Linked DNA regions of Macaca mulatta. The protein of the gene in region 1 interacts with the protein of each later gene in a pairwise test. Links are inferred from orthologs where the notes say so. Each region holds a gene or a part of one and is shown on either strand. Other genes may lie near its edges.

What was found.
Region 2: the proteins of CCDC116 (region 1) and BEX3 interact in binary tests that used the Homo sapiens proteins (3 or more experiments, as listed by UniProt). The two-hybrid records come from large-scale screens. The link is inferred for Macaca mulatta from reciprocal best matches to the Homo sapiens genes CCDC116 and BEX3.

The regions. Positions count from the first base shown.
Region 1 is NC_133415.1:31,349,926-31,365,051, reverse strand, and holds CCDC116 (coiled-coil domain-containing protein 116), read left to right. Parts: upstream 1-140; 5' UTR 141-232; coding exon 233-502; intron 503-1,280; coding exon 1,281-1,835; intron 1,836-1,949; coding exon 1,950-2,534; intron 2,535-3,697; coding exon 3,698-4,408; 3' UTR 4,409-4,590; downstream 4,591-15,126.
Region 2 is NC_133426.1:110,011,848-110,028,249, forward strand, and holds BEX3 (protein BEX3), read left to right. Parts: upstream 1-8,115; 5' UTR 8,116-8,214; intron 8,215-8,618; exon of another isoform or gene 8,619-8,697; intron 8,698-9,053; exon of another isoform or gene 9,054-9,080; coding exon of another isoform or gene 9,081-9,110; coding exon 9,111-9,416; 3' UTR 9,417-9,751; downstream 9,752-16,402. UniProt on the Homo sapiens protein: May be a signaling adapter molecule involved in NGFR/p75NTR-mediated apoptosis induced by NGF. Plays a role in zinc-triggered neuronal death.

The DNA.
Region 1 (15,126 bases):
ACTTCCTCGCACTGTATAGCTGCCCCAGTGAGGGCGCAGACTGTACTGGCCTGCGCGGAGCAAGGCGGTGTTTCTGGTGAGTCCGTTGATTCCGGGCTGGGGCGAAAGCCAGGTTGCCCAGGGTTTGGGAGTAGGGAGGGTTAAGCACACGCAGATCCAAAGATGATCGGAGACAGGATGGTCCTCGGCGATTCCATCCCGATGACTCTGGGAACTGCCTGCCTGCAGACGCATGAGGGCCATGGAGCAGAGGAAGGGCTGGATGCATGAAGGACACGGGGTGCGGGCAGCAAGGGAACCGCAGATTCCAGGGCCACAGATGTGTGGACCTATTGGAGACCCTCACGTTGTCTCCCCAGCCCGCGCAGAGAGGAATGCGCAGCTGAAGAGAGAGGTGGGCAGCAGGCTCGGTCACCTGCCAGGTGACCACATGGCCAGGTGCCGCCACCACTCGGGCTACGTGGCTGACGATGAGGCCAGCCACTCCATGTGCAGTGCACGAGTAAGTGTGCCCAGCAGGACCCCGACCCTTAAGGCCACAACATGTTCCCCGCCAACCCTGACACCCAAGACCACAGCCCCCATTTCTCATTGTCTATTGACCTGCTCTGTGGGCCTCTTAGCTGAGTCCTTATTGCCTTGACTTCTCCTATGACTCCCCTGCTTGCCCCTGTCACACTCAATTTCATTCCTTGTTTCCTTCTGACTTCCAGCGACCTGGAAGGTGCTTGGGTGAACTGGGACCCTAGAGTGGGAACTGGGAGTTGACTAGGTGCCTAGGGCTCAAGTTGGAGAAACAGCCCTGGGTAGCACAGGGCTCAAGACCTCAGCTATTGTCTGCACTCAAGACCTCAGGTGTTGTTTGCAGCCCTGCCATGGAGACAGGGATGGCCTGCTGCATGGACAGATGAGGAGCTGGAGGGAGACTCCAAGAGGTTCATGATTGCTCATCCTGCCATGTATCAGGGCAGAAGCAGGCTAAGTCCCTTAGCCAGGACTTGTGTGTGTGAAATGTAGGTGTTAGGAAAGCTTCAGGGCGACCCTGAATAGACCTCCACTTTGCAGATAAGGAAATTGGACCTCAAGAGGGGCCATCTTGCACACTGTCATCAGGCTGTAGGTGGCAGAGCCAGGGTCCAAATCCAGGGCCTCCAGACTTCAAAATGCAGCTCCTTCCACTACTCACTCTCACTCAGGTCCTAGTGTTACCCTAGGAAGACCCCAGGGAGCCCTTCACCTGTAGGGCACCCATGCCCACTGTGACATACCTGTCTGCTCAGGTGCAGCTACCCAAGAAGCCACTGGTTCCAGAGATGGGGCCAGCCTCCAAGCCGGGCCATGTGCCACACCCACCATCCACATGTGGCAGCTCAGCGCTCCAGAACCAACGCCGAAACAAGAGGCACCCTCAGCCCTTTAGCCACTTTCTGGATTTCCTGACTGAGAGCCATGTCCTGGACAGCCTGGAGACAGTGGTGGAGAAGGCGACTGAGCGCATGGCTGCCATGAAGACCGAGGCTGGGGTGCCGCTTGTGGAGGTGCAGGACCCAGTGGAGGTGCCAAGTGGTGGGCGGCGGGCACATGCCCGGCCCAGCCTCAGCACTGTACACCGGCACCGTGTACGGCCGACCCTCTGCACTGGACACCCCAACAACTACCCATCCAGCTCCAGCTCCATGTCCGACTCCCATAGCAGCCTCATGGCTGGCTGGCTGGGCTCCCACAGCCGGGACAGTGACCTAGGTGCCCAAGGTTTAGGCTCACTGCCACCTGTGAAGGACAAACTCCTGCTGGAGAAGAATCTCAAGCGGCTGCTACAGCTGGAGAAGAAAGGGGTGAGAGCCGGGGCCATGGCTGGGTGGGGTGGACTCCCACGGAGAGCCCAGGGCCAGGGTCAGCCCTGGCTTGGCTGCTCCTGAACACTTCTCAGAGTCACCCTCTTTCTGCAGAAAGGCCTCAGTCAGTCCTGCTCCAAGAGGGACTCCCTGCTGTGGGATTTGCTGGGCAGCCAGACCAGCTTTCAGTGGACCCAGGAGCAGCCCCTGTCCTGGTTCTCGGAGCTGCTGGGCTCAAGCTCTGGTGTGCCTGAAGCATCAGAGCCGAGGCCTGGAGAACAGGAGCCGATCTGCAAACGAGAGTTCAATAAAGAGATCAAGTCGTTACTGAGCCAGCTGGAGTCCCTCGACCTGCCTGGCTACTGTCCGCTCCGTGAGCCCCATCGCACACTGAACTTCCTGGCTGACCACCGCCTCTTCCCTGCCCTGCAGAGCGTCGTCAACCAGGCTGTGGATAAGCTCCGCGGCGCCCGCTGCCGCGACGGCCGTCCTCTGTTCCCCACCAGCTTGGAGCCCCCCTCAGAGCTGCAGGTTCAACGCAATCTGCCGCCGCTGGGCTCTGAGCCGGCTAAACCCACCAACAGCGGGCAGCCCCACCCCACAGTCTCCAGCCCCAAGACGCCTCAGAGAAAACACAAGGACAGAGGAGGCTCCCCCTCCATGTCTAGTGCCCAGGTGGCCACCAGATTCAAGCTCAAGGTGACACCCATGGAGAAGCCCGATGTCCCCAGCCCCTCACTCCACTCCAGGGAGAAGGAGCCTGACTCAGATCCCAAATTACAAAACCCACCTGTTTCCCTGAGCTCCAGACAGAGGGCCCAGCCCTGGCGGGGCCTGCACCTCACCCTGCCCGCGCCCGGGATAGTGGTGGAGGTGGCCTGCGGCCAGGGCCACCTCAGGGTTGTCACACCTCCACTTGCCTGCCCCTACCCCCGCTCTTCCTGCTACCTTCTCCCTGAGCTCTCCCCAGTTGCTTCCTCATCTCCCTCCTCACTGTGTCCAGAGGTGACCTCCTCGAAGGTAGGACCGGACATGAGTTTGCAGGAGAAAGGCTCCTTGACCCGCCACTCCTAGCAGCCACTATCACTGGCAGGTGCTCAAGGTCAAGGTTTCTTGCCCTGCACTGTGGAAACCTCCTGGGCAGGGGTCAAGCTGATGGGGGCCCGTGAATCCTGGCCTAGCTACTACCAGGTGTTGTCACAGATAAATAAAGGCTATTTATTTATGCTGGGTATTTTTGCTAACGTTTCTATGTGAATCTAGAGACGCTCCTATGTGGGAGTGGAGGGTCCCGTCCCTTGTGGACAGAAGCACTAGCCTGGCCGGGGCCTTGCCTCCTAGGTCTAGTTCCCTTGAATCCAGCTGCCTCCAGCAGGACTCTCCAGTCTCTGGACTTTGCCGAGGGAAAGTTGACCAGGCAGGATGTGCACAAGACGTAGGTGGCCTCACACTCGTGGATCTCCAGCATGGTCCCTCGACCCTTTCCTCGGCCATCAAGGCTCCTGCAGGCATCTCTCTGGGCAGGCCTGGGCGGAAGCCTGCCCAAACCCAGTTGTCAAAGCTCAGATTAACCTCACCCTGTGACAGTTCTCTGCCCTTGCCCCAGGCCCAACAGGTGTAGGAGGTGTGATGGTGAGGTGAGCATGAGAGTGGGCAGTTGAGTGCATCAGCATAGCAGATGTGGCAAAGCTGTACCCTTCGTGTGACAAGTGTGTTTGTCACACGAAGTGTACCCATTCATGTTTGCGATGGGCAGGGCTGGCAGGGCTCTGAGGAGGGCACAGTGGCTGGAAGGGGTGTCACAGAGGGATGGGGCTGGCAGATGTGACATGTGTTCCTTTCCCTCCCCGGCTGCTATGCAGAGCCCCCGCAGCAGTGGCAGGTTCACAAAGAAGAAGCCGCTGCCCTCCATCTCATCGAAGTCCAGCATGTCTCACTTCTCCAACCGCCTTTATGAGGAGCTCGCCGACTTCCTGACCCAGCAGGCAGCCTCCCTGCTCATCCGCAAGTATGAGTTTGAAAAGGACCTCAGTAAGCAGCTGGGCTTCTTCTCCTTTCCTGTCACCCAAGTGCTCAGGGACCTTTCCCTGGGCTTAAAGAAGGTGAAAGGCTCCCGCATCCAGCTGTCCTCGGAGACCCACCGGAGCTGCCTGCTGCGTAAACTGGAGGAGGCCAAAAGGGCCCGGCAGACCTCCCGGCTCAGCACCCCCCACCGCAGCACAGAGACACCCTCTGTGCAGCAGGAACCGGCCACCCACACTGCCCAGGACCAGGCCACAGAGCCCTGCCGCTCCATTTACACTAACTTGCCAGCCAGCCGGCAGCTCAGCCCATTGGAGCCCAAGCTCTCAGTGTCCGCTGGCACCGGCATGGGTTCCAGTCTCCCCAAGTCCAAGGACACGGACAGTGAAGGCCATGATGAGGCCGAGGTTGAAGATGAAGATGAGGATGAGTACAAGGATGAGGACCAGGATGAGGACAAGGAGGAGGATGGAGTCCAGAGCCTCCCAGAACCTGGAGAGGAGGCCTCGGTCAGCCACTCTGTGGACGTGGGCCATAGTGACCCACCATGAAGTCCCCACTAGCCACTCGATTCCCTGCTCTGTCAGAGTTGCTGCCCATCACACCAGCCCCTGCCATGAGCAGAGTCACCACAGGCTGAATGCCCACGAGGAGCTCTGCTGAGACTCTCAGGGGAGCCAGCGAAAGAAATAGAAATAAAGCCTGTGTTGCTGGGACACAGGTTTGTTGTCCTGAGATTTCAGCCGCCATTTTATTTATTTACTTATTCGTTTACTTATATTTAAGATGAAGTCTTGGCTGGGCTCATGCCTGTAATCCCAACACTTTGAGAGGCTGACGTGGACAGATCACTTGAGGCCAGGAGTTGGAGACCAGCCTGGCCAACACGGTGAAACTCTGTCTCTACTAAATACAAAAATTAGCCAGGTGTGGTGGCAGGTACCTGTAATCCCAGCTACTTGGGAGGCTGAGGCGGGAGAATGGCTTTAACCTGGGGAAGCAGAGGTTGCAGTGAGCCGAGATTGCACCACTGCACTCCAGCCTGGGCAACAGAGTGAAACTGTGTCTAAAAAAAAAAAAAAAAAAAAAAAAGTCTTGCTGTGTCTTCCAGGCTGAAGTGCAGTGGCATGATCTTAGTTCATGGCAACCTCCACTTCCTGGCTTTAAACAATTCTGTCCCCTCAGCCTCCTGAGTTGCTGGGACTACAGACGCCCGCCACCATGCCCAGCTAATTTTTGTATTTTTAGTAGAGACGGGATTTCACCATGTTGGCCAGGGTGGTCTCGAATTCCTGACCTCAAGTGATCCACCAACCTCTGCATCCCAAAGTGCAGGGATTACAGGCATGAGCCACCACGCCTGGCCACTAATTTTTTATGTATTTTTAGTAGAGATGGGGTTTCACTATGTTGGACAGGCTGGTCTTGAACTCCTGACCTCAGTTGGTCTGCCTGCTTCAGCCTCCCAAAGTGCTGGCATTACACGCATGAACTACCGCACCCGGCTTTTATTTTTATTTTTATTTTTATTTTTTGAGACAGAGTCTCACTCTGTTGCCCAGGCTGGAGTGCCTTGGTGCGATCCTGGCTCACCACAACCTCTACCTCCCAGGTTCAAGGGATTCTCCTGCCTCAGCCTCCTGAGTAGCTGGGACTACAGGCGTGTGCCACCATGCCGGGCTAAATTTTTTTTTTTTTTTCTTTTTGAGACGGAGTCTTGCTCTGTCGCCCAGGCTGGAGTGCAGTGGCACGATCTCTGCTCACTGCAAGCTCCGCCTTCTGGGTTCATGCCATTCTCCTGCCTCAGCCTCCCAAGTGGCTGGGACTACAGGCGCCCGCCACCGTGCCCAGCTAATTTTTTTGTATTTTTAGTAGAGATGGGGTTTCACCGTGTTAGCCAGGATGGTCTCGATCTCCTGACCTTGTAATCCACCTGCCTCAGCCTCCCAAAGTGCTGGGATTACAGGCATGAGCCACTGCGCCCGGCCAATTTTGTATTTTTAGTAGAGACAGGGTTTCACTATATTGGCCAGGCTGGTCTCCAACTCCTGGGCTCAAGTGATCCTCCCGCCTTGGCCTGCCAAAGCACTGGGATTACCGGCATGAGCCACCATGCCCCGCCCAACACTGGAGTTTGGAGGCTCAGTGGGGCAGTGGTGTACACTGGAGTTGCTTATGTGACTGCTTTCAGCTGCTCACTGAACTGAGGCCAGAACATTCCAGGGTCCCTCTCTATGTGGCTTTTTACCACGCAGTAATCTGGCACTTCATTATCGCAAGGTGCATTGTCTAGCTTCCTAGAAGGATGAAGCCAGACCTGCCAGAGTTCTTATGGCCGGTGCTCAGAAGTCCCCAAACAGCACTTCTTCGGCATTCGATTGGTCAGAACAAGTTGCGCTACCTACCCAGATTCAAGGAAAGAGGAAATGAACTACGTATCTTTGGCTTACGGGGATGGGAGGAATTGTGAGTATTTGGAGACTAGTTACCACCCTTCCTCCTCTCCACAGCTGATTGTACCTTTAGCAGTCCTTGGGCCCAAGTTGAGCCAATCAGATTCTCTCTTGAGAACCTGAACCTTAAGACAAATTATGGTTAGTAGGTGGAGGGCATTGGAGAGGCCATAATCAGCCCTGAGGAGCTGCCCATAGGGTGAGCAGGGGAAGGCAGTCTGCAGCAGGAGGCTGGAGAAGGGAACAGCAAAGAGAGGCCATGAGGCTCCCCGTGAGAGTCAAGGGAGTGCTACATTGGCTTCCCCACTCTAGGTCTGGTATCTCAGCCTACTTAGAATCCTGTCTTGCTTGTCAGGAAGATCGCCTGCTGTGTCCTCACCCTCCTGTGGTCCTAAATGCAACTGGGAAATGGCTGGCAGCTTCTAGCAGGGAACTGGCATGATCTTTTGATCTATGCTTTTACCACTTTCTTTTGAGACGAAGTCTTACTTTATTGCCCAGGATGGAGGACAATGGTGTGATCTTGGCTCACTGCAACCTCTGCCTCCTGGGTTCAAGCGATTCTCCCACCTCAACCTTCTGAGCAGCTGGGATTACAGGCACATGAGACCACGCCTGGCTAATTTTTGCATTTTTAGCAGAGACAGGGTTTCGCCATGTTGGTCAGGCTGGTCTTGAAGTCCTGACCTCAGGTGATCTGCCTGCCTCATCTTCCCAAAGTGCTGGGGAGTCACCGTGCCCAGCTGCTTTTACCACTTTCCTGTGTAGAAAGAATGCTTTGGAGGGGCCAGCATCATAATGGAAGCAGCTAGACCTGTTAGGAGGCAGTGGTCAATATCTAAATGGGAGATGGAGGGGCTTGGGTTAGAACTGTGATGGGGACTCAGGAGAGATGCCTTGAAATGTGATTTGGAATGACAGCCATAAAGACACGTTGAGTGGGCTGGGCATGGTGGCTCACGCCTGTAATCTTTTTTTTTTTTTTTTTTCTGAGACGGAGTTTCGCTCTTGTCGCCTAGGCTGGAGTGCAATGGCATGATCTTGGTTCACCACAACCTCCACCTCCTAGGTTCAAGCGATTCTCCTACCTCAGCCTCCCAAGTAGCTGGGATTACAGGCATGCGCCACCATGCCCAGCCCACTCAACACGTCTTTATGGCTCTGATTTAGTAGAGATAGGGTTTCTCCATGTTGGCTGGGCTGGTCTTGAATTCCTGACCTCAGGTGATCTGCCCACCTCGGCCTCCCAAAGTGCTGGGATTGCAGGCGTGAGCCACCGGGCCCAGCCTATGCCTGTAATCTTAACACTTTGGAAGGCCGAGGCGGGTGGATAACCTGAGGTCAGGAGTTCAAGACCAGCCAGGCCAACATGGTGAAAACCCGTCTCTACTAAAAACACAAAAGTTAGCCGGGTGTGGTGGTACTGGGTACCTGCCTTAATCCCATTAGCTGGGTACATGCCTGTAATCCCAGCTATTCAGGGGACTGAGGCAGGATAATCGCTTGAACCCGGGAGGCAGAGGTTGCAGCAGTGAGCTGAGATTGCGCCACTGCACTCCAGCCTGAGCGACAGAGCAAGACTCTGTCTCAAAAAAAAGAAAAAAAAAAAAGGAAAAAAAAAGAGTTGTTAAATGAGGCACATGTGGAGACTCAAAAGTTAAAAAACTAACTAAATAAATAAAGGCTGGGAGTGATGGTGGTGGCTCACGCCTGTAATCCCAGCACTTTGGGAGGATGAGGCAGGTGGATCACCTGAGGTCAGAAGTTCGAGACCAGCCTGGTCAACATGGTGAAACTCTGTCTCTACTAAAAATACAAAAGAATTAGCTGGGCATGGTGATGCATGACTGTAATCCCAGATACTCAGGAGGCTGAGGCAGGAGAATCTCTTGAACCCGTGAGGCGGAGGTTGCAGTGAGCCGAGATCACGCCATTGCACTCCAGCCTGGGTAACAACAGCAAAACTCCATCTCAAAAGAAAAGAAAAAAAAAAAAGACTTGTTGAATGAGATGTGAGGAGCAACAAGGTAAAGAGATGAATGAAAGAAGAATCCCAAGTTTTGGGCCTGAATGGAGGTGCCATTTACTGAGACTCAGAGGCCTGGGGGAGGGGCAGTTTGAGGGCAGAGACCAGGAATTCTGCTTTGCATGTGTTGATTTTGAGGTGATGGCTGACATGTCCAAGAGTATATATCCGTTGCCTCTCAGATAGTACTTCAGATCTTCCACCCTAGACTGGAAACCCCTCAAGTGCAGTGACTACCAAATCCAGGGTAGACTGACCTTTAACTGTTTGGACACCTAAATGCTGAAAAGATCAAGGTGACTTATACTACATGTAACTCAAAATAAAAACAATATGAAACATGAAACCCCCAAAATAACATGTTGCTGTAATGAAAATCGCTTTACTCTGGATTTTCTGAATGCAAAATTCTGGACGATTTAATTAAATATGAACTTTTGTCTCTGCTTTGCCTGTGCTTCAACTACACCTTAGCCTCTTGAGCCCAGAGCTGTTTCCTCTGTGACCCCACAGGATCTGGAGTGAAGCCGCTGCAACAATGTCCCATGAATGAATAAACAGTGGTATAAGTTTTCCTCCCTTTGAAGGTTGAGCTGACAACACTCTGAGAAGGCGGCAAAAGGGAGACCTACTCATGGCCAGGAGACTGGGACACAGTCACCCAGGCTTGGTTCCCACAGCCCCTTGGTCTCCTTGGACTCTGGTTTCCTAAGACAGCTCTGGGGCTTTCTGGTGGGAAGCTGCCATTATTCTCGACGCCACAGCTCCCTGCTGCCCTCTCCTGCCCGATGACCCAGTGACCACAAGATTTAGCCACGAAAGGAGTCAAATGTATAAGTGGCCAGGGGAATTCAGAAACCCCAGGGTCTAGGGACTGTGGTGACCCAGTGTCAGAGAGGCGGCTAGGGCCGAATGACTGGGGGTTTCATTAATCTCGGGGTCCAGGGACTGAAGGACCAGACGATTCAGTGATTCTGGGATCTGTCGACTTTGTGACCACAAAATCTAGTGATCCAACAGCCTCAAGACCCTGCAGTTGTGGTCCCAGGTTCTGAGGGGAGAGACTAATTACTGAGTGCCCAGGAGTCCAGGATCAAGGGGCGTCGTGAACACGTGCCTGCAGGGTGCTAGGATCCTGAGCTGGTATCCAGGCACTCAGCGGCTGCGGGGCTCGGACTCGGCGTCCTCACCAAGCGCTCCCGCTCATTCTCCGCCGCTTGGCTACTCAGCCGCCCTTCCCTGGACACTCATTGGAAAGTCCTCGGAAGCGTGTACCAATCAAAACCCTCCTCGTGTCTCCAGTCCCCGCCCAGCTACTGCTCTAGCGAGACGGGGGCGGGCCCTCTCCTCAATGACCCAATGGCAGTGCAAGCGGAGTGCCGCGCGGGCCGACCATTGGCTGCCGCGAGCGGGCGCTGTCAGAACTGGATTGGGCCGCGGCGAGGACGGAAGCAGCCCTAGTGCCGGAGCGGCTGGAGCCGGGCCGGGGCGATGTGGAGCGCGGGCCGCGGCGGGTCTGCCGGGCCGGTGCTGTTGGGGCTGCTGCTGGCGCTCTTAGTGCCGGGCGGTAGTGCCGCCAAGACTGGCGCGGGGCTCGTGACCTGCGGGTCGGTGCTGAAGCTGCTCAATACGCACCACCGGGTGCGGCTGCACTCGCACGACATCAAATACGGATCCGGTGCGTGTGACCTGCGACTGAGAGAGCGCGGGGATCGGGGGCTTGGGGTTGGGAGTGTGGAGACAGGGTGGTCGTGGGGGTCTGTGGGCCATCTCGAAGCCGGGCGGCGGAGGCTCTAGAGTCGTTGGGGGGTCGAGGGGCGCAAGGCTTTGAGGGTGTCGAGGATATTGAGGGTGGGGACGGTCGTCGGGGAACTGCAGGCCCAAAGACTGAGGAGGGTGTCAGGCGGGGGCCGGGGCTGGGGGTGAGCCCCTTGGGGTCCCCTGGGAAATGTTATGGTCCCAGGGCGAGGGTCCGGGGTTCTGCGATTGACGGAGACCCTGGGTGAGTGGGGTGTCACTCCTCAGGCAGCGGCCAGCAATCGGTGACCGGCGTGGAGGCGTCGGACGACGCCAATAGCTACTGGCGGATCCGCGGCGGTTCGGAAGGCGGGTGCCCGCGTGGGTCCCCGGTGCGCTGCGGGCAGGCAGTGCGGCTCACGCATGTGCTTACAGGCAAGAACCTACACACGCACCACTTCCCGTCACCGCTGTCCAACAACCAGGTGAGCCCCTCCCGGAGCCCCCAGAGAGATTCCTGGCCTGTGTGAGGGGCCAGAGATCCTGGGTTCCAATCCGAGCCTCAGCTTCTTCGTGAAATGGAAATTTCACTTCAGAGATGGTTATTGAGCACCCCTTCGGGGGAAACAGAGTAACTCCGCCAAGATCCTGCCCCCAGGTGCTCCCGGCCCGGCAGGGAGACCGATGGGAGAGAGATCCGAAGAGATCCTCCTGGATAGCTCTTCCTCTGGGGGCAAGTGGGACCCAGGAGGAGAATCCACACAGCCTTGAGGGTGGGGAATAGGAAACTCCACTGGGGAGGAGGAACTCAGGCTGGGTCTGAAAGGATGATTAGGAGTCCTCCAAGCCACAAAGGGAAAAGAAGGACTTCCCAGGCCAGCAGAAGAGATTGCACCAATGCATGGAGGTCAGTGGAATTCAGGGGATTGGGATGGAACAGTGGGTGCCCTTGGAGAGTTGGTGGAAGAAAATGTTTGAGATAGATAGACAGCTTGACTGCTAGCCTGAGGGGCTGAAGGTAGGTCAGAGGGATTAGGACTGGGAGAATGTGGAGGAGGAGGCCTTAGCTCTGTGGGGACCAGTAGTCTCTGCACAGACAGATGCAATGGTGTGTGCACGTGTCTGAAGAGCCCATGCTGGGGAGGGAGTGCCAGAGGTTGCGCGGGCGGGTCATGGTGTCACCTTTTGCAGCTGTGGGAGCTGAGTCTCCAGGAAGGGCAGGGAAGGATCCTAGGCTCAGTGTAGGTACGAATGCCGCCTTCTGTGGTGACCACTGTCCCCTCACCCTCTGCACCTATAGGAGGTGAGTGCCTTTGGGGAAGACGGCGAGGGTGACGACCTGGACCTATGGACAGTGCGCTGCTCTGGACAGCACTGGGAGCGTGAGGCTGCTGTGCGCTTCCAGCACGTGGGCACCTCTGTGTTCCTGTCAGTCACGGGTGAGCAGTATGGAAGCCCCATCCGTGGGCAGCATGAGGTCCACGGCATGCCCAGTGCCAACACGCACAATACATGGAAGGCCATGGAAGGCATCTTCATCAAGCCTAGTGTGGAGCCCTCTGCAGGTCACGATGAACTCTGAGTGTGGGATGGATGAATGGGTGGATAGAAGGTGGGGTGTCTGCAGGGCCACTCTTGGCAGAGACTTTGGGTTTGTAGGGGTCCTCAAGTGCCTTTGTGATTAAAGAATGTTGGTCTATGATTGTGTTTCACTGTGAACCTGAGGATGACCAGGAGCTGCCAGCCCAGGCCCAGTTGATCATCTCTTCCTCAGTGTAAAACCTGTCTCCATCCCAGCGTGACTGCTGAACCTGTCCAAACCCTTTATTATTATTATTATTCTTGGTTTTTCGGGGGGTTTTGCTTTTTTTTTTCTTTTGAGGCGAACTCTCGCTCTTGTCCCCCAGGCTGGAGCGCAATGGTGCAATCTCAACTCACTGCAACCTCTGTCCCCCGGGTTCAAGTGATTCTCCTGCCTCAGCCTCCTGAGTAGCTGGGATTACAGGCATCTGCCACCATACCCGGTTAATTTTTGTATTTTTTTTTTTTAAGTAGAGACGGGGTTTCACCATGTTGGCCAGGCTGGTCTCGAACTTCCTACCTCAGGTGATATGCCCACCTCAGCCTCCCAAAGTGCTGGGATTACAGACATGAACCACCACGCACGGCCTGGGTTTTGCTTTTTTAGAGATGGTCTCACTCTGTTGCCCAGTCTAGAGTGCAGTGGCATGATCATGGCTTGCTGTAAACTTAAACTCCTGGGCTCAAGTGATCTTTCCACTTCAGCCTCCTGAGTAGCTGGGACTACAGGCACACACCACCATGCCCAGCTAATTATTATTTCTGATGAGACAGAGTCTTGCTCTGTCATCCAGGCTGGAGTACAGTGGCAGTGATCATAGCTCACTGCATCCTGGGCTCAAGTGATTTTCCTACCTCAGCCTCCCAAGTAGCTGGGACTACAGGCATGTGCCACCATGCCTGGCTAATTTTTTTATTTCATTTTTTTGAGACAACGTCTTGCTCTGTCGCCAGGCTGGAATGCAGTGGCAGATCTCTGCTACTGCAAACTCTGCCTCCCAGGTTCAAGTGATTCTCCTGCCTTAGCCTCCTGAGTAGCTGGGATTACAGGCATGCGCCACGACGCCCAGCTAACGTTTGCATTTTTAGTAGAGACGGGGTTTCACCGTGTTGGCCAGGCTGGTCTTGAACTCCCAACCTCAAGTGATCCGCCCACCTTGGCCTCCCAAAGTGCTGGGATTATAGGCCTGAACCACTGTGTCCACTCCCCCTGGCTAATTTTTAAAATTGTTTTAGTAGAGACAAGGTCTCATTGTATTGCTCTGGCTGGTCTCAAATTCCTGAGCTCAAATGATCCTTCCACCTTTGCTCCCATAAAGTGCTGGGATTACAGTTGTATTACTTTTATTTTGAGACAGGGTCTTACTATTTTGCCCTGGCCAGACTCGAACTGCATAGTTCAAGCCTCCTCCTGACTCAGTCTCTCAAGTGGCTGGGATTACAGGCGAGTGTCACTGTGCAATCTAAACCTTTTCAGTGGTCTTCCATGTACTCCAGTGCTGCCCTGGGCATCCCCCTGTCCACCCTCAGGCGATCTGATGGCAAGTGACCCCAGTTCCCTGTTCCCCAGCCCCTTAGCTTTATGAACCTTCCTGTTAAGGGCCAAGGCCAGACCTCAGAGCAGGATGGATGGCAGCCCCACTCCCTGTCAGCTGGGATGAGGCACAAGCTCTCCAGCTCCCTCATCCCTAGATGTGAAGAGCTCACTCTCCTGTCAGTTGTGGCAGTCTTGACACCTGTATTTGACCAAGAGACAGATGAGGATTCTGCCCATCCACTGGAAAGTAGCATCACAGTTTCCCTCACTCGGTGCAAATGGCACCTCACCCACCCTAGCCTGCCTAGGCACATGGCATCTCAGGCCCCCACCATGACCTTTGAAAGTATCAGTGAGATAACAGAACTACAGAAGATACTGCAAGGGAAGGCAGCCGCGTACAACTGCTACCTGCAGAGATCTGAGAAGACTTCCTGGAAGAGTAAGCACAATTTGGGCAGGCCAGAGTATGGTACCTTTAAGGCAGGAACAGATTAAATAGGAGAGCCCTAATAAAGGAAGATCACTGTTAGCTTTGCTGGTGTGTGGGTGGCCTCTAGCGGTTACGGCAGAGATTACAGGCTTCCTGGACTTGGTAACTCAGCTGGGCAGCTGTGGGTTGGCTTAGGACACAGGAGCTACCGAGTATAATGGTTGGCTTCCCTGAAGCAGAACAAAAGAGCCCAAGGAGAGAGGCCAGGGGTGGCAACTGACTGGAAGAGGCTCGGAGTAGTGTGGACAGAGCACCCTGCATTGGATAAATCAATTGACCTTTCATGGTTTTTTTTGGTTTGTTTTTGTTTTTGAGGCAATGTCTCTGTTGCCCAGGCTAGAGTGAAGTGGTGCGATCTCGGTTCACTGCAACCTCCACCTCGCAGGTTTAAATGATCTTCCCACCTCAGCCTCCGGAGTAGCTGGGACTATAGGCATGCACCACCACGCCCAGCTAATTGTAGTATTTTTTTCTAGAGACAGGGTTTTGCCATGTTGCCCACGCTGGTCTCGAACTCCTGGACTCAAGTGATCTGCTCACCTCAGCCTGCCAAAGTGCTGGGATTACAGGTGTGCACCACCACGCCTGGCCTCAGTTGACCTTATTAAAGGATGGAGCAGCTGGACATGGTGGCACACTCCTGTAATCTCAGCGCTTTGGGAAGCTGAAGTGGAAGGATTGCTTGAGCCCAAGAGTTGGAGACCAAGAGTTGGTGAGCTATGATGGTGCTACTGCATTCCAGCTGGGCAATAGAGAGACTCTGTCTCTTTAAAAAAAAAGGCCGGGCGCAGTGGCTTACGCCTGTAATCTCAGCACTTTGGGAGGCCGAGGCAGGCGGATCACAAGGTCAGGAGATCAAGACCATCCTGGCTAACATGGTGAAACCCTGTCTCTACTAAAAATACAAAAAAAATTAGCTGGGCATGGTGGTGAGCACCTGTAGTCCCAGCTACTGGGGAGGCTGAGGCAGGAGAATGGAGTGAACCTGGGAGGCGGAGCTTGCAGTAAGCCAAGATCCTGCCACTACACTCCAGTCTGGGCAACAGAGCGAGATTCCATCTCAAAAAAAAAAAAAAAAAAAATGCCGGGCGTGGTGGCTCAAGCCTGTAATCTCAGTACTTTGGGAGGCCGAGATGGGCGGATCACGAGGTCAGGAGATCAAGACCATCGTGGCTAACACAGTGAAACCCCGTCTCTACTAAAAGAATACAAAAAAAGTAGCGGGGTGAGGTGGCGGGTGCCTGTAGTCCCAGCTACTCTGGAGGCTGAGGCAGGAGAATGGCGTGAACCCGGGAGGCGGAGCTTGCAGTGAGCTGAGATCTGGCCACTGCACTCCAGCCTGGGCGACAGAGCGAGACTCCGTCTCAAAAAAAAAAAATGGCTTGGGGTCGGGTGAGGGGGCGGGAGAAAAGCTCTAGCCAGTTATGAATTTGAACTCCTGG
Region 2 (16,402 bases), on another chromosome or scaffold:
TATACAACAATGCCTTGCATATATCAGCATTTATATAAGTGTTATTTTATTTTCATCACTATGTATGTGTAAGAAAACTAGGATAATTCTGTATGTGTTATTTTATAATTCAAATTTTCAAAAAATGCTTTTTTTTCCTTCTCCTTGCCAAAAGGATACCTTTTCCTTGGAGACAATTTAGAAGATAGAAGCAATGATGACCAATATCAGAAATGTATCTTTAATCTCAAAGATGAAAACAACCAAATGGAAGAGGATGACAGAAGGGCAGGGGCACCAAGTCACCAGGCAAGGTTTCTAAGTGTAAAATGTAAGCACAAGATACGTTTACGCTACTACTGCCTGGGTCTCTGAGAGTCATGACAGGAAATATAGCCCCTAACTCAGCAGCTGGGGCAGGAGCGTAGTGAGGGAGGAAGAAGAGAGGTAGGAAAAATAGGTGTGTGTGAGAGAGAGAGACAGAGATAAAGAGAAAATAAATGAATATTTATATTTGAGACTTTAATTAAAGACAGATAAACATCATCTGTATACCAATACCTAAAATATCAGTTTTAGTAGTATTCTAAAATAAAGTGTAGCTTATCCTCGTATCCACCTAATTTACTGTAGAATACTTGAAAAATGTGGAAAGTCATAAATTGGAAGATTTATGATTTGTACTTATCACCCATCAGCAAAAGAGCCAAAACTTTGGGTGCTGAGATAGCCAACACTGAGATCACTAAAGGACAGGCTTATCTGGGTCTGTCAACTAGAGGGTTCACATGTAGCATATTCAACATGGCCATCCCAGGGCTTCAAAAGCAAATGTTTCCTGTAAATAAGGGTGAAGCTGTATGATGTTTTATGATTTGGCCTTGTAATTCATATAGCATCAGTTTTACTCTAGTCTACCCTATTGATTGAAACTGTCATAAGCCCTCTTCTAAGATTTAAGAGGAGGGACAGAAGACTAAGATTGACAGATGGCAATCATAGACAAAATATTCAAATATTTCCTTAGATGTTTATGCACAATATGTATAAACCTAGAAGGTAAACAAATAAATAAAATTGGCCAAGTTCTATGGACTGAATGTTTCTGTACCCCCAAACTTCATATGTTGAAGCTTAATACCCAGTGTGATGGTATTTGGAGGTGGAGTCTGTGAAAAGCAATTAGATCATGAGAGTGGAGCCCTCATGAATGGGATTAGTGCTCCTATAAGAAGAGACATGAGAGAGTTTGCTTCCCCTCTTTCTGTTCTCAATTATGTGATGTTACAAGGAAAATTAACATCTGCAAAACAGAAAGTGGGTCCTCATCAGACATCGGATCTACCGACATCTTGATCTTGCACCAGAACTGTAAGAAGTAAAGGTTTGTTGTTTAAACCACTCAGCTGCTATTTTGTTATAGCAGCCCAAACTGACTAAGACACTAAGAAAACAAACAAGTGAAAAAGATTTCTTTCCTGGGAGTTAGTAGATCTAACAAAGCTATCTCTATATCTACTTCTACCACTACCCTCTTTGGTAACCTGGGCAAGCACCTTAATTTTTCTGGGTCTCAGTTTCTCAATTTGAATAATAGGACCCTTGTACTAAAATATTTCTAAGGTTGTTTTGGTTTTCATAGTACACAATCTGTGAAGGCCTAGTACTTGAGATCATAAACCCTACCCTATAAATCCAAAATTAGGCAAAGGCATAGAAAACACAGCTATAAAATCCACTGTTCTATAAGCCTACTAATCCATTCTTTTGGCCTCACAGTTTATTTTATTATTCTATTTCCTATATCCTAGCCCTCAGAGACAATGGGCTTGAAGAACATACAATAACCTGGGACATAGCCTGTTGGGCGTCCAAAGCAGATGGTTTGTGACAAAAGTTTGTCTAGGCATGTTGACAGACTTCAGTCTTTCTTCCTGAGATATGAGTGTAGTTAATGAAAGCTCAGGGAAGGGACCAGAGGTAATTGTTTTCTTCTTTAATGAATCTGGACTTTAGATAAATAAGGGAACTTCAGAAAACAACTTCATCCTGTGCTTTGGGAAAGACAGAGGATTGAGAGTCAGGAAGTGTGTGGGAAAGGTCAGACGGACCTTGAGGCTTCCTCTTCAGTTCAGCATGTCAAAGCACCATATCTTGGGGTATCAGTTTCTGAGCCCCAACATTACTCAATATAATGGAAGGTCTTTGACAACAGGGCCCTTGTCTATCCTGTTTCCTCCTGCATCCTTAGTACCTAAAACAGCAATTTGCACATGATAAATGCTCAACTATTATTTGTTAAAAAATAAATTTTTTATTGGCCATGTTTATTTCTTTTGTAAACTACTTATTCATATCCATTTCTCATTTTCCCATTGGTATGTTCATTTTTTTATCATTAATTTGTAAGGGCTCTTTAAATATAGTGGATGTTAACTTTCTTTTTCTTTCACATATTTTTGGTTTCCTAGGATGGCTGTAACAAAGTATCACAAACTGGGTGGCTTAAAACAACAAAAATGTGTCCTCTCATGGCTCTGGAAGCTAGAATCTCAAAATCAAGGAGTCAGCAAAGCCATGCTTCCTCAGAGACTTTGGGTAGAGTCTTTTCTTGTTCCTTCCTAGCTTTTAGTCATGGTTGTCCATACTTGGCATTCTTTGGCTTGAAGCTGCATCACTACAGTCTCTGCCTCTGTCCTTGGATTGGTTTTCCTCTTCTTATAAGGACACCAGTCATATTGTATTAGGGCCCAGCTTAATGACATCACCTTAATTTGAGTATATTTTCAAAGGCTCTGTTTCCAAATGACGTCACAATCAGAGGTTATAAGGCTTAGGACTTCAATATATATTTTGGGGGGACACAATTCAACCCACAGCACATATGGTATAAATATATTTCTCCCGTTTATTCTCTGTCTTTTAAATTTGTGTGAAAAATCAGGTCCCCTGGCCAGGCGCAGTGGCTCACACCTGTAATCCCAGCACTCTGGGAGGCCGAGGCGGGCGGATCACAAGGTCAGGAGATCGAGACCATCCTGGCTAACACGGTGAAACCCCGTCTCTACTGAAAGATAGAAAAAATTAGCCGGGTGTGGTGGTGGGCGCCTGTAGTCTCAGCTACTCGGGAGGCTGAGGCAGGAGAATGGCGTGAACCTAGGAGGCGGAGGTTGCACTGAGCTGACATCATGCCACTGCACTCCAGCCTGGGTGACAAAGCGAGACTCCATCTCAAAAAAAAAGAAAGAAAGAAAGAAAGAAAGAGAGAGAGAGAGAGAGAGAGAGAGAGAGAGAGAGAGAGAAAGAAAGAAAGAAAGAAAGAAAGAAAGAAAGAAAGAAAGAAAGAAAGAAAGAAAGAAAAGAAAGAAAGAAAGAAAGAAAGAAAGAAAGAAAGAAAGAAAGAAAGAAAGAAAAAAATCAGGTTCCCTTTGTTGCACTGTGTACTAGCAATGGAACTTACATGGGAGTAATAACAGTGAAATAAGAAAAAGTGACTTCATGAACGTTTAGGCACGAGTTTTGTTACTCCTCAAAGTTCATCCCTAAGTCCAGGGAAAAGTAAGAAAGGTGCTTGCCTCGGCCTGAATCTAGAAGGGCCAAAGGAGTTCTCTTGGCCTACACATAGTCCAGCTAATGTCATCAGTTTAGGAGACTGTATAGGGCAGAGCTCCTTTTCCACCAGAGTCCTAAACGACAGGAAAGAGTGGCCATGGGTCTCTGGTGTCTCAAGATATTATCTGCAATCCATGAAATAAAGAAAAGAATAGCCCTCAGTTCTCCAATAGATAATGAGGCGCTGAGTATTTGCTGCTTTCACGTTCAGACATCTTCGTCTCATAGCCCTTTTATTTTTTCAGACTAGATACCTTGAATTAAATATGTTATCTCCCAAATCATCGAAACTCTTACAGGGACACCCTTAAAATTTCATCAGATTCATTCCACATTTTGGAAATCTTGGCATCAAAGTTAACAACGGCCATAACTTAGAGGAAAGCTGGAGTAGGCATAATTTCCTATATTCTTAATACCTAGTTTCAGTCTGTAATCAGTGCGTAAATTTAGAGAGAAAGAGAGAATCACAATAAAAGAATATCAATAAAGCATCAGAGAGGTACATAGAGAACCTATTCTGGGCAGGAACAGAGATACTCGTACCCATAGGGCCCACTAGGGCTCAGACTACCTTCTCCGAAGCCTAGCATTCACACAGGAGAAATAATGAGAGGAAAATAGGACAACAACCACAGCCCAACGGGGTGCATTTCAGACAAGTACATGTGAGCCATATTATGGCAATACACATAAAGATTTCAGCAAAAACGAGCTTCCTCTGATGGGATACTAATACAATAGAGGGATCTTCACTAGTTGAGGTCAAATCATGAAACAGTTTTATTTTTCCAATAACTGTATCAGCAGTGTTCTATCACCCCCTCCCCCATTTCACACGGGGTAATGGGCTTCTTTAACTACATTTCTGTCCAGTTCTTCAACTTTTCAGTCACTATTGCTTATTAAAATAGTTTCAGTCAGATTAAAGATTTGGTTCTATTGATTTTCAAATGCCAATCTCACTTTTCATTCTGAGTCCTCCTGGTCCCTCCAGGGCAGATTAGAATTGAGGCTCCTGGGTTTGAAACATGTGTAAAATGTGTGTGTGGATAAGAACCATCTAATCAGTTCACCTTCTCTTTGCCCTTTGGGACACATGAATCCCAAATGCAGAATATAGTGTCCTTCTAACTTGGCCTTGAAAAAATTTCTGCTTTTGTTCTCAACAGTGTGCTATCTATTTCCAACTCCTCAGAAAACTCCAAGGTCAAGAAAACATCTCAATCAACTCCTATTCACAACATTTTAGTAAAGATAACAGCATTTCCAGGACAATTTTCACCTATCTTTAAAACATTACTTTATTACAACTAATCTTCTTTTTTTTTTTTTTGAGACGGAGTCTCGCTCTGTCGCCCAGGCTGGAGTGCAGTGGCGCGATCTCAGCTCACTGCAAGCTCCGCCTCCCGGGTTTACGCCATTCTCCTGCCTCAGCCTCCCGAGTAGCTGGGACTACAGGCGCCTGCCACCTCGCCCGGCTAGTTTTTTGTATTTTTTTTAGTGGAGACGGGGTTTCACCGTGTTAGCCAGGATGGTCTCGATCTCCTGACCTTGTGATCCGCCCGTCTCGGCCTCCCAAAGTGCTGGGATTACAGGCTTGAGCCACCGCGCCCGGCACTAATCTTCTATATAGCATAATATCCAATCTGGATGTTACAAACAAATGTCTGTTTTCATCCAAGGAAATTTGGTGGTTTTGAACAAAGGATTTATCCAAGATAGGTCAAAAGAAAAAAAGCAAAGCACTTAGCCACCAAAAGAAATAAAAATCCACTTGCTAAACTTTATATCCAATAGTCACATCACAGTGGCTTCTCAGCTTTCAGGAGATTTTTTTCTAGGTAATTCTTAATTTTCACAAAAGCTTTTCTGTATTGCTCTAAATACAGTCCCCAGAATGAAAAACAACCAATTTGCCTCAGTACTGGATACACTCATTCAACAAATACTCAGTAATCACCTATTTGGTGCAAGGAACACTATTAGTCACTGGGTATGCAAAATAGAACACAGCAAGCATGTTTTGGGCCCTGATGGATTTTAAGAACAAGTGGGTCTAGGTAAGGAAAGAATCATACTCTGCTACTCTTCAAATCATGTTAGAAACCATCTCATAACGATAAAAATAATGTCAACAAAAATTGATGACTTACTAGGCTATGTAGTAAATTATTGTTATGTGTAATTCTAACAATCCTTGTTTCACAGAGGAAGCACACAGACCTTGATAAGTAATTGATCCAAAGTCGAACATCAAGTAAACAACCTACCGAATTTGAAACCAGAATTGTCTGATACTACTGTTCATGCTTTGAAACTGCATCATTCCAGCTGATATCATTAATATAGCAATCTGTATAAAAAGTTCTTAACTGTGAGACAGAATCCAGGAATCACTAATATTTCTTTAAAAGACAAATATTGAGTGTGATTTTATAATTTGATGTTTTGGAGTAATGTACTAATATATCTATATACTTCTAGAAGAATATATATGTAATTTTATATGGAATTTATATTTCCAAAACCTCTAACTACATATGCATTGGGCATATACTCTTCCTTTATTCACTGTGTCATCTGGTTTGGCAGGGCAGGAAATTCTATAGGAGTCTGGGGCCAAAACTAGAGTTAGTAAACATTTGTCTGGCTTATCTTGCCTCAGTGCTGCATTTTATGCTTTTGGTTCCTGATCATAAACAACAGATACTAAATTTTTTTATAACAATGCCACTTTCCTAAAGATATCTCCATTTTCTAGCTGTGATAATTTTTTAAAAAATGATTTCAAGTTGGAGAAAGGAACATTTGCACTCAGGATGAGGTTCAGTCTCAAGTTAAGTTGTTGCACACATCCCCTGCTTTTTTCTAATATATTTTTAAACATTCGCACCAAAGGGTAGATGGTTTTGAAACTAATTTCTGCATAATATGTACTTAACTTCTGAACTCGTACTAAAAAGATATTTGTAGGGGTGGTTTGAAAGGTTTGGAAAGGAAAGCAGGGAATAAAAGACTCCCTTTCTCTGATGACTGTGGTATCAAAAACATCAAAGTTACATAAAATGGTGAAGATCTGACGACCGGACTGCTCCCTGAAGATTTACTTTACAGATCATTTTGAAAACACTAACTGTGTTCAGAAAGAGTGCCGCCTTTTTATAATTTTTTATTTTTATTATTTATTTATTTTTTTTTTTTTTTTTTGAGACAGAGTCTCGCTCTGCGGCCCAGGCTAAAGTGCAGTAGTGCGATCCCGGCTCACTGCAACCACCGCCTCCCGGGATCAAGCGATTCTCCTGCCTCAGCCTCCCGAGTAGCTGGGACTACAGGCACACGCCACCATGCCCGGCTATTTTTTTGGTATTTTTAGTAGAGATGGGGTTTCACCATGTTAGCCAGGATGGTCTCGATCTCCTCACCTCGTGATCCGCCCGCCTTGGCCTCCCAAAGTGCTGGATTACAAGCGTGAGCCACCACGCCCGGCCAAAAATAAAATTTTAAACGAGCTAGTATGTATCAAAAGTAATGGTTTGATGTTGTGTGGAGCCCAGAGAAAATATTTCGTGTGGCACAAGTCAACATAAACAATGACAGAGATTTCATTCTGCAGGATAAAGCATTTCCTTTTTTTTTTTTCTTTTCGTTTTTTTTTGACAGGTTCTCGCACTGTTGCCCAGGCTAGAGTGGTGTGATCCCGGCTCACTGCAACCTCCGCCTCTCGGGTTCAAGCGATTCTCCTGCCTCAGCCTCCCGAGTAGCTGGGATTACAGGCGCCCACCACCACGCCCAGCTAATTTTTGTATTTTCAGTAGAGACGGGGTCTCACCATGTTGGCCAGGCTGGTCTCGCACTACTGGCCTCAAGTGATCCGCCCGCCTCGGCCTCCCAAAGTGCTGGGATTACAGGTACGCCACCGCACCTGGCCAGCATTTCTTTCAAAATTAAAAACTTATAATTTATAATTTTCGGAAGCATGCAGATTTTTTAAGGAAATAAAAAGAAATATATACAGCCCACTCCACTTCCTTGCCCCTCTTTCTGACAAGTGCCCTCCTGCCTCACCACCTTAGCCATCACTCTAAATTTTCTAGAATGGTAGGACTTCAGGGGCTACGTGGGCATTGATGGCTGTGCACACGCAAGGGGCAGGAGTGGGAGTGCAGCGCAAAGCATGTTGCCAGGTAGAAGAGGAGAGAAAGCAGAAAAGGCCAAAACCAAGGCCTGAAGTGAGAGGGGGCGGTGGTGGATGATGCAGACCCTCCCTGGTAACCAGAGGAGGGCAAACTCCAACCGCAGAGCAGTGATGCCACTTGTGGGCCCTCAGATTGGAGAGGACCGAGAAGAGTGACAGGGCTGTGCGCTCTGGGGCACTTCACGCAGACGGGAGTAGGGAGGCTGTTTTTTGCGCGTGCATATGGCGGTGGGGGGGAAGGGGGATCCTGCTGCACTGGCCGCCCAAGTTGGGGGGCGAGCTCGGTGGTGACGCGCGGCCCTCACGTGACCCAGAGCTGCAGAGCGACGCAGCCTTCGGTGCAGTCGTCACTCGCGTCTGTCTACCAGCTCCCCGCTGCCCTGAGCTCGGCGGGCTGGCATCCGGCCCGGGAAAAAGCGGAGCAGGTAAGGGCCCCGGGGCCCGCGCGCCCCGGCCATGCCAGCAGCGGCTGACCGACCCCGGCAACGGGCGCAGAACAGCGCAGGGGTCCCCGCCAGTTTTCTCCACACTCCAACATGCTTGGGAACATAGAGGCCCCCAAGGGTGGGGAAGCAGGGGCGGCTGGGTTTCCAGGGGCGGCAGAGCCACCAAGAGCGATGGAAAACCACCCCCGAGTCCCTGCAGGAAAACGGGGAACACCGCGGGGGGCGGGGCGGCCGAGGGTGGGGTGGGAGCGGGGGGTGGGAGACGCGGGGCGCTGGCGCGAGGGGAGCCCGGGCCCAGGGCAGGGAAAGGGCCGGCGGCGGCTGGTCCTCACTAGCGTGTCGCTGCAGCAGCCCCCACTCCCCCCACCCCGGCCCGACTGCAGGTCTGCGAGGCTAAGTGTCCCCGCGGCGCACCTAGCAGCGAGAATCCGGAGGAGGAGGAAACTGCAAGGATAGGCCCAGGTCGGTTCGAGGGACGGTGGTGGGGCGGGGGTCGGAACGTGAGGAAAGCCCAGTCTGAGACCCCAACCCCCTCCACCCCATCCCCCACTCCTATACCGGTCCTCCATTTTGGTGCCTGCGAAGCTCTGGGAAAGAATCCTGGGAAAGGAAAAATGGTGGGTTTGGGGGAAGGGAGGTAAGGGGAGAAAGCTGGAGGGAGGGGCTCTAATTGGAGGCCCCCTAGAGGACGCACGGAACTTCCAACTTAGGAAAAAATGAAATGAAAAAATCCTTTGATATCAGGGTTCTGAATCCTGCTGGTCAGTGCACCAAGCATTCAGTCTCTCTCCTTGCCTTTGTCTTACTTGTGTTCAAAGAAAAACAACCAGAAAAAAAATCTCATCATGGCAAATATTCACCAGGAAAACGAAGAGATGGAGCAGCCTATGCAGAATGGAGAGGAAGACCGCCCTTTGGGAGGAGGTGAAGGCCACCAGCCTGCAGGAAATCGACGGGGACAGGCGCGCCGACTTGCCCCTAATTTTCGATGGGCCATACCCAATAGGCAGATCAATGATGGGATGGGTGGAGATGGAGATGATATGGAAATATTCATGGAGGAGATGAGAGAAATCAGGAGAAAACTTAGGGAGCTGCAGTTGAGGAATTGTCTGCGTATCCTTATGGGGGAGCTCTCTAATCACCATGACCATCATGATGAATTTTGCCTTATGCCTTGACTCCTGCCATTTATCATGAGATTAATACTGTGATTCCCGCTGTTTTCTTTTTCCTTGCATTTTCCTAATATGCCTTTACTGATCCGTTTGCTGTGAACCCTGTTATTTCCATGTGTCAAGTGGGTCTTGTGTTGCCAGCTTCTATTTGGAAATTGCCTTTGCACTCAGTCTAAGTTTCTGTCAGCAGTAGTTTCACCCATTTGCATGGAAAAATTTAAAGCTAATAAAGCAATTTAAAAAGCAATCTATACATTTATTGTCTCATTAAAAATGTATACTTACATATAACAGATGAACTAAAAAAAAATCTGAGATTAAATACACTAGAGTGTTAATTGGGGCACATTTCTGTGTGATAACTAATCCCAGCACTTTGGGAGGCTGAGGTAGGCGGATCACGAGGTCAGCAGATCGAGACCATCCTGGCTAACACGGAGAAACCCTGTCTCTACTGAAAAAAAAAAATACAAAAAATTAGCCGGTCATGGTGGCACACGCCTGTAGTCCCAGCTACTCGGGAGGCCGAGGCAGGAGAATGCTTGAACCCAGAAGGCAGAGGTTGCAGTGAGCCGAGATCACGTCGCTGCACTCCAGCCTGGGCGACAGAGCATGACTCAGTCAAAAAAAAAAAAAAAATGATATGTGACATTTTTTCCTTTTATTTTCTGGAGTTTGAGAAGCAATGAAAATTATTTTTCAATGAGATTATGAATGTAGTGCAGATACATAACAATACTGGCTCAACAAATTTGAAGAGTAAACTAAGTATCCTTCAGTCTTAACTGAAATAATAAACCTTCCCTTTATTACAGATACATTCCTTTAAAGAGCCCGTTTTCTGCTCTGTGAAATGGGGAACAATGCTTGTCTTACAGGGCTGCTGAGTGGAACTGATGAAATGTGGAACTGTGTTGGGCTGACTTCTGTTCCCAACTCCCCAACATTTAACAGGACCGGGACCCCCATCAGGTACTTAGGGAGGACTGGAGGAATTATCACTCATGTTTCCAAGTCCAGACAGTGAAAATAGGTGGGTTCCCCCATGTCATTCTTGTTATTTGCAATCCTCCTGCTCCCCTGATTACTTATTAATAATAAATTCTTAATTGGCCACACTTTCCTTTCTGCTGGATCCTGTTTCTGTTGCTGTTGATGAGGTGCTAGGGTCTTCAAGGTAACAAAGCCCCACTGATTTCTCTGGAGTATCTCGTGAGCCAAATCCCCATTTGACCTCTATAGAATTGTGGAGAATGTCTTTATAACTTGAGTTATGTTTATCCCGGTGAGTACAACTCTTGTGGTTCTTGGGGTTACATTGGTTCTTAGAAAAATAGCCCTTTCTGGTTTTCTTTCATAACTCCTTCAAATAACTCAGACAAGAGTGCACTGGTAACTAGCTCAGGAAATGCATCTAAGTGTGCCCTGAATTGCATTACTGCAAACCTCCACAATACAAACAGGCTGAAGGCTTTATTTGTGCCTGTGTTTCTATCCTTGACATGGATTTTCTCAAAGGAGGCTTTTGGCAGGCCTGCCCACCCAGTTTAACAGACTTACCCAGACCTGTAAGTTAATTGGGGGAACACATTTTCTTTAAAGCGGAAACACACTCCCTTCTTGTCCATACCTGAACCATGAAACTACTTTGTAAGTTCTTAAAAACTATATTAAGTATTTGGTATTGTTATTTCTTTGTGAGTGTGTGCCCTTTTCTCCAGACAGTTTCTGGTATGGTGCCCGACATAGTAGATATGAAATTACTAATATTTTGATTGATTAGTTAACTAAGATAGAGTTAGAAATCCAGCTCAAAACTGTCCCTAACTCACTATCCTTAACTAAGGGGCCAAAGGCAAGTAACTAGTTATGTGGAAAGCATTACATTGTTTCCAAAGGAACATAGCAAGGAAAGTTTCTAACTCAAATTCTGTAAACTTTTTTTTAAACCTTGTATATGTTAGTGTTTAGGGAAACATAGACCCCTTACTTGAATCACAATCACCTAGGGAAAGTGTTAAAAATGATGACAGCTGGGTGCTATTCCCACCCACTACCAGCCACTGTCACCACCTGAATCACCAGAATCAGGAATTACTATTTTGACAGTTTCCCAAGTGATTCTCACACATCTGAGTTTTGACAACATAGGCATAGAGAAACATTGACAGTAATTACACCATTTTACAAATATCGTGATCCAAATTACCTTACTTAGTTGATTCCACAAAGAATATACGTTTCCAAAGTACAGCATTCCAAAATCAGACTACATTAGACCATCAATGTATGTTTATACTTAAACCAGTACTGTTTTATCCTCTTTTCAAATATCCTATTAAACTAATACCTTATCATGAGTTTATTATTAATAATAAATGTATAATAATTATGAAATTATTAAATAAATTATGCATTATCATTTCTATGCCAACCTGTGCCCTTTCACAACAATGATTTTGTCTTAATCTCCCTGGAACTCAGTTTCTAGCACAGTGCCTAGTATAGTAGATGTTTCATAGCATAATAATTCATTTAATTAATTCATTTACTAATTAATTATTAAATTATTTTAGGATTATAGTTTATCTAAAACAATATATAACAACATTTTTGAGCCTGTGTTTTTTTTAATACTTTCGTATTTTAAAAGTTTCTATAAAGAACATTTTAAAATGTTAATACTTTTTATAATTATTTATATAATGTCATCATACATATTTGGATCATGAATATAGGGAAAATATAAACAAAACCATAATCCAGTCATCCAAAGATACCATTCGTAAGTTTTTTAATCTTCATCTTATATTTTATCATGATAAAGCTAGGCTTAGAGCCTCTTGTGAGGAACACTGCCTCTTTCAAAGCCCCTGCCAAAGAAATATATTTAGCTTGCCATGTTTGTTACTGTTTTTCTAATCTCTCCTCTCCACTTATCAAAGCTGATTGACTCACATTTGATCAGCTTTCGGTTAGTTAGCTCTTGATTTTCAAAACTCAAACCATCACATTTCAGAAGTCCACTCACAGTGATGTAATGTAGTCCAATTTTGAAATGTATTTTTGTAAATTTAGAAATATAAAGTAAATATATTTATTTACTAGAACAGGACAGAACTATTTATTTACGAAACTTAAAAATTGTCTTAGAAGTAGAAAAAGTTTTGGGTTTCATAAATGAAATGGGCAAAATTCCACGTCTACTCTTTCTCCTTTCCTGACATCACATATATTATATAGTAAATATACTGATTTTGTTTAGAAAGGTCCAATTTTTAAATTTTCAGAAAGATAGCATGTTATGTAGTTGATATTTCATGTGTAACCAGCTGGAATGCTTTCTAAGTGATATAACTCTACATAACCCAATAAATATGGCATCCCTATAAACTTGAAAATCTAATTAAAAAAAAAGTTTGCCAGACATTTGAAAAGTCACAATTGGCATGTTTAGAAATTTACTCTGATGGAAAATATTTTCTATTTAATAAAAATAAACTTTGCTGAGTTTCATATGAAGAGAGAAATCTTCAGATGTATGCCCATTTTAAAAAATCGTTTTCACACAAATGAACTTTGTGTTTCTGACTGTAAAGTAATGCATTTTTGTTGTTGCTTTGAGCAGAAGAAAAACTGTATTAAGAAAGTTTTAAAATATTTTCTTCAACACCTTCTTTTCCTAAGATCACATGAGTATCAATTAATTTTAAGTTGTTGTCTATTTTTTCCCTAAATTAATGCATATTACTTAGTTCGTAATTAAAATTTGGTTTTTAAAAGAGGAAGCAAACTAATGTGTCAGTTATTAAAAGAGTGGAAAATTTGTTGAAAAAGAATAATGAATTTCAAACTAGTTCTGGATCCTTTAGCTGATTATGTAAACTTAGTAGTTATTGCCATGGTAACGCATTAGTGTTTACTATACTCATTGGTAAAATGGAGATGATAATTTCCAGGGCTGCTGTGAGACCCAAAGGAGGTAAAGGGCATGTGAGTGAACGGTGTTGGGTGACTTCATGTTTTCACCTGTACATTCAGAATCCAAGTACCTCAGATCCCCTTCAGCTGCTCGGAGTGGTAGCCAAACTATGTCACAGTCCCACTCCATCCCTCAGCTATGATGACCCACCCACTCCTCCCAGTTCTGCACTCTCCACTGGTCTTGATCACTACAGATTTCTCTAGACACCTCAACGTGTTAATGTCCCAGTTTATATCCTACAGAGGTGTGCATAAAGACCTACTTGAATTACAGTTGTGCTAGTTTTGGTGGGTACTGTCTTAGTGATGCTTGGACCATGGTATGTTTTATATTTTTAGCAAAAGAGGCCTTTTTCTCAGCTTGTATTTGTGGTTATAGGATATTAGGGGCCTAGTCTTGCTTTTTTATCCACTCCGACAATCTCCGTCATGTAATTAGAGGGCTAAGACAATTTCCATTTCAAGTGACTATCAATATGGTTGTCACACAACCACAATGTTCTGTTAATTTTTCAGTCTTTTCTCTCTGTGTCTCATTTCAAATGGTTTCTTTTGCTATGTCTTCAGGTATACTATTCTTCTACAATGTGTAATCTGCCATTAACTTCATCTAGTATATTTTTTCATTTCAGACATTGTAGATTTTATCTCTAGATGTTTAATTTGAGCCTTTTAAATATTTTTTTATATTCCATGTCTCCACTAAACTTGTTCACTCTTTCCTGTAGCTTCTTGACCACATGCAATGAAGTTCTAATTATCTGCTTTTATGTCCTTATATAATTCTACCATCGTTGTCATTTCTGGGTCAGTTTTGATTGGTTGCTTTTTCTCTCATGATGATTTTTATTTTCCTGTTTCTTTGTAGGCTCTTGATTGGATGTCAGACATTGTAAGTTTCACCTATTGAGTGCTGGGTATTTTCGTATCCCTGGAGTTATATTAATTTGTATTCTGGAAAACAGTTTTTGTAAAGTTTGGTCTTTTAGATTCTTGCTTTAAAACTTTGTAAGAAAGGATTAGTGTTGTATTTAGAGTTAATCGTTCCCCACTAATGAGGAAAATTCTTTCTGAGTACTCTATCTGATGTCCTGTGAATTATGAGGTTTCCAATTCTGGCTAGTGGGAACATGCGCTGTTCCCAAACATGTGTGAACTTAAGGAATTATTTCCTTTAATCCTTTTTGGTAGATCATTTCCTGATCTGGGGTAGTTTTCCTACAGATATGTGATGATCAGAGTGATCAGTACTAGTTAAAATAATTGGCAGGCCATTAGACTGAGGTGACTCTAGCAAACTAGAGTTTCTATGTAAGCAAATTGAAACCCAACTCATAGTGAATGGTCATAGCCTAGGAAAATAAAATGTAAGCATAACCAATTAAAAACTGCCAACTAACCTCTAACTAGAGACTTCACCCATCAAAAGCTGCCTATTAACCACTAACTAGAAACCTTTCACTTTTAAAAATCAAATGTTTTCTTTGTTTTGCTTTAGAAAACATTTTACAAAAGTTTTTCCCTCATATGCCCCCTTGGTGGAACACTGAACCACCTGCAGTTTGGCGTTGCTCTGTTCATGAATAAACTCAGCTCAAATAAACTCTTCAAAGTTTTAATGTGCCTAAGTTTATTATTTAACAGTACTCAGGTAAATATTCAAGAGTGGCTCTCCATGGATCTCTGGAATTCCTTCTCTGTGCGGCTCTTTCCTTTTTGGGACACAGCCCTGTGAACTCCAGCTTCCTTGCCCTCCTTGGACTCCCAACTTCTTATTCTAAGCTCTGGGATACCATGGGGTTTTGCCTGGATTCCTGCTTGTTGCACTGCGACCTGAAAACTTTCTTCAGGAAATAAGCTGGGGCAATCATAAGAATAACCTCATTTGTTCCCAGTTTCTCAGGGATCACTAAACATTGTTGCCTGCTGTCGAAGGTCTTGAGAACAGCTTGTTCTTGTATTTCATCCAACTTTTTAGTTGTTTTATGTGGGAGAAAAATTCCATCTGTCTAGGAGCAGAAATTCTGTTATGCCTTAGGTAAATGTTCTGTTTTTGTTTGTTTGTTTGTTTTTGAGATGGGGTCTTGCTCTGTTGCCCAGCCTGGAGTGCAGTGGCATGATCATAGCTCACTACATCCTCAATCTCCCCAGCTCAAGCAATTCTGCACCCTCAACCTTACAAGTAGCTGGGAACACAGATGTGCACCACCACACCCAGCTAATTTTTTTTTTTTTTTTTTTTAGTAGAGACGAGGTATTGCTATGTTACACAGGTTGTCTTGAACTCCTGAGCTCAAGCAGTCCTAACACCTTGGCCTCCCAAAGTGCTGGGATCACAGGTATAAGCCCCCATGCCAACCTTGAATAAATGTTTAATGTGGCCATTATGACTCTGTGGGGATCCTCAAATCCTTAGCCCAGTTCTGCCCTTCACTAAAGAACAGCAGGCAAGTCACTTCATTTCTCTAGAAGCAAAGACTTGCATTTCCCACAGCAAATTTAATTTGACACAGCAAATTAAAAATGAAAAAAAATTAGCATTGTATTATAAAAGAAACATTACACTGGATTCTTGTTTTTAAAAAAACAGCAAGGAAGACTTTATTCAAGACTCTTGCAAGATGGGAGAGAGATTGAACTCTGTTCCAAATACTACTGAGACAGTTGGGATTTTATGGCCACTGGGAAACGTGAGGGAGAGGGTGAAAACTACTAAGAAATTTGGTTAGTTATCAGAGGAAGGGGAGGAACTTGAATAGACATCAAAAGTGGCGGAAGAAGAGCTTGATTGGATGGCAAAGGTGGGAGGATTCTTGATAAACTGACTGAGCAGGATTATTTGCTAAAACTGGGCTCAGTTGGCAAAAGAGAAGGCCTAGTTGAAAAAAAAAAAAAAAGGCTCAAAGAAGCCTGACTAAAGTTTTGGTCTAGGAGAAAGGAGTCCATGTCAGTATGCATTGGTGATTTTTGAAGCATTTCACACAGACTGCCTGCTTCACAATCTC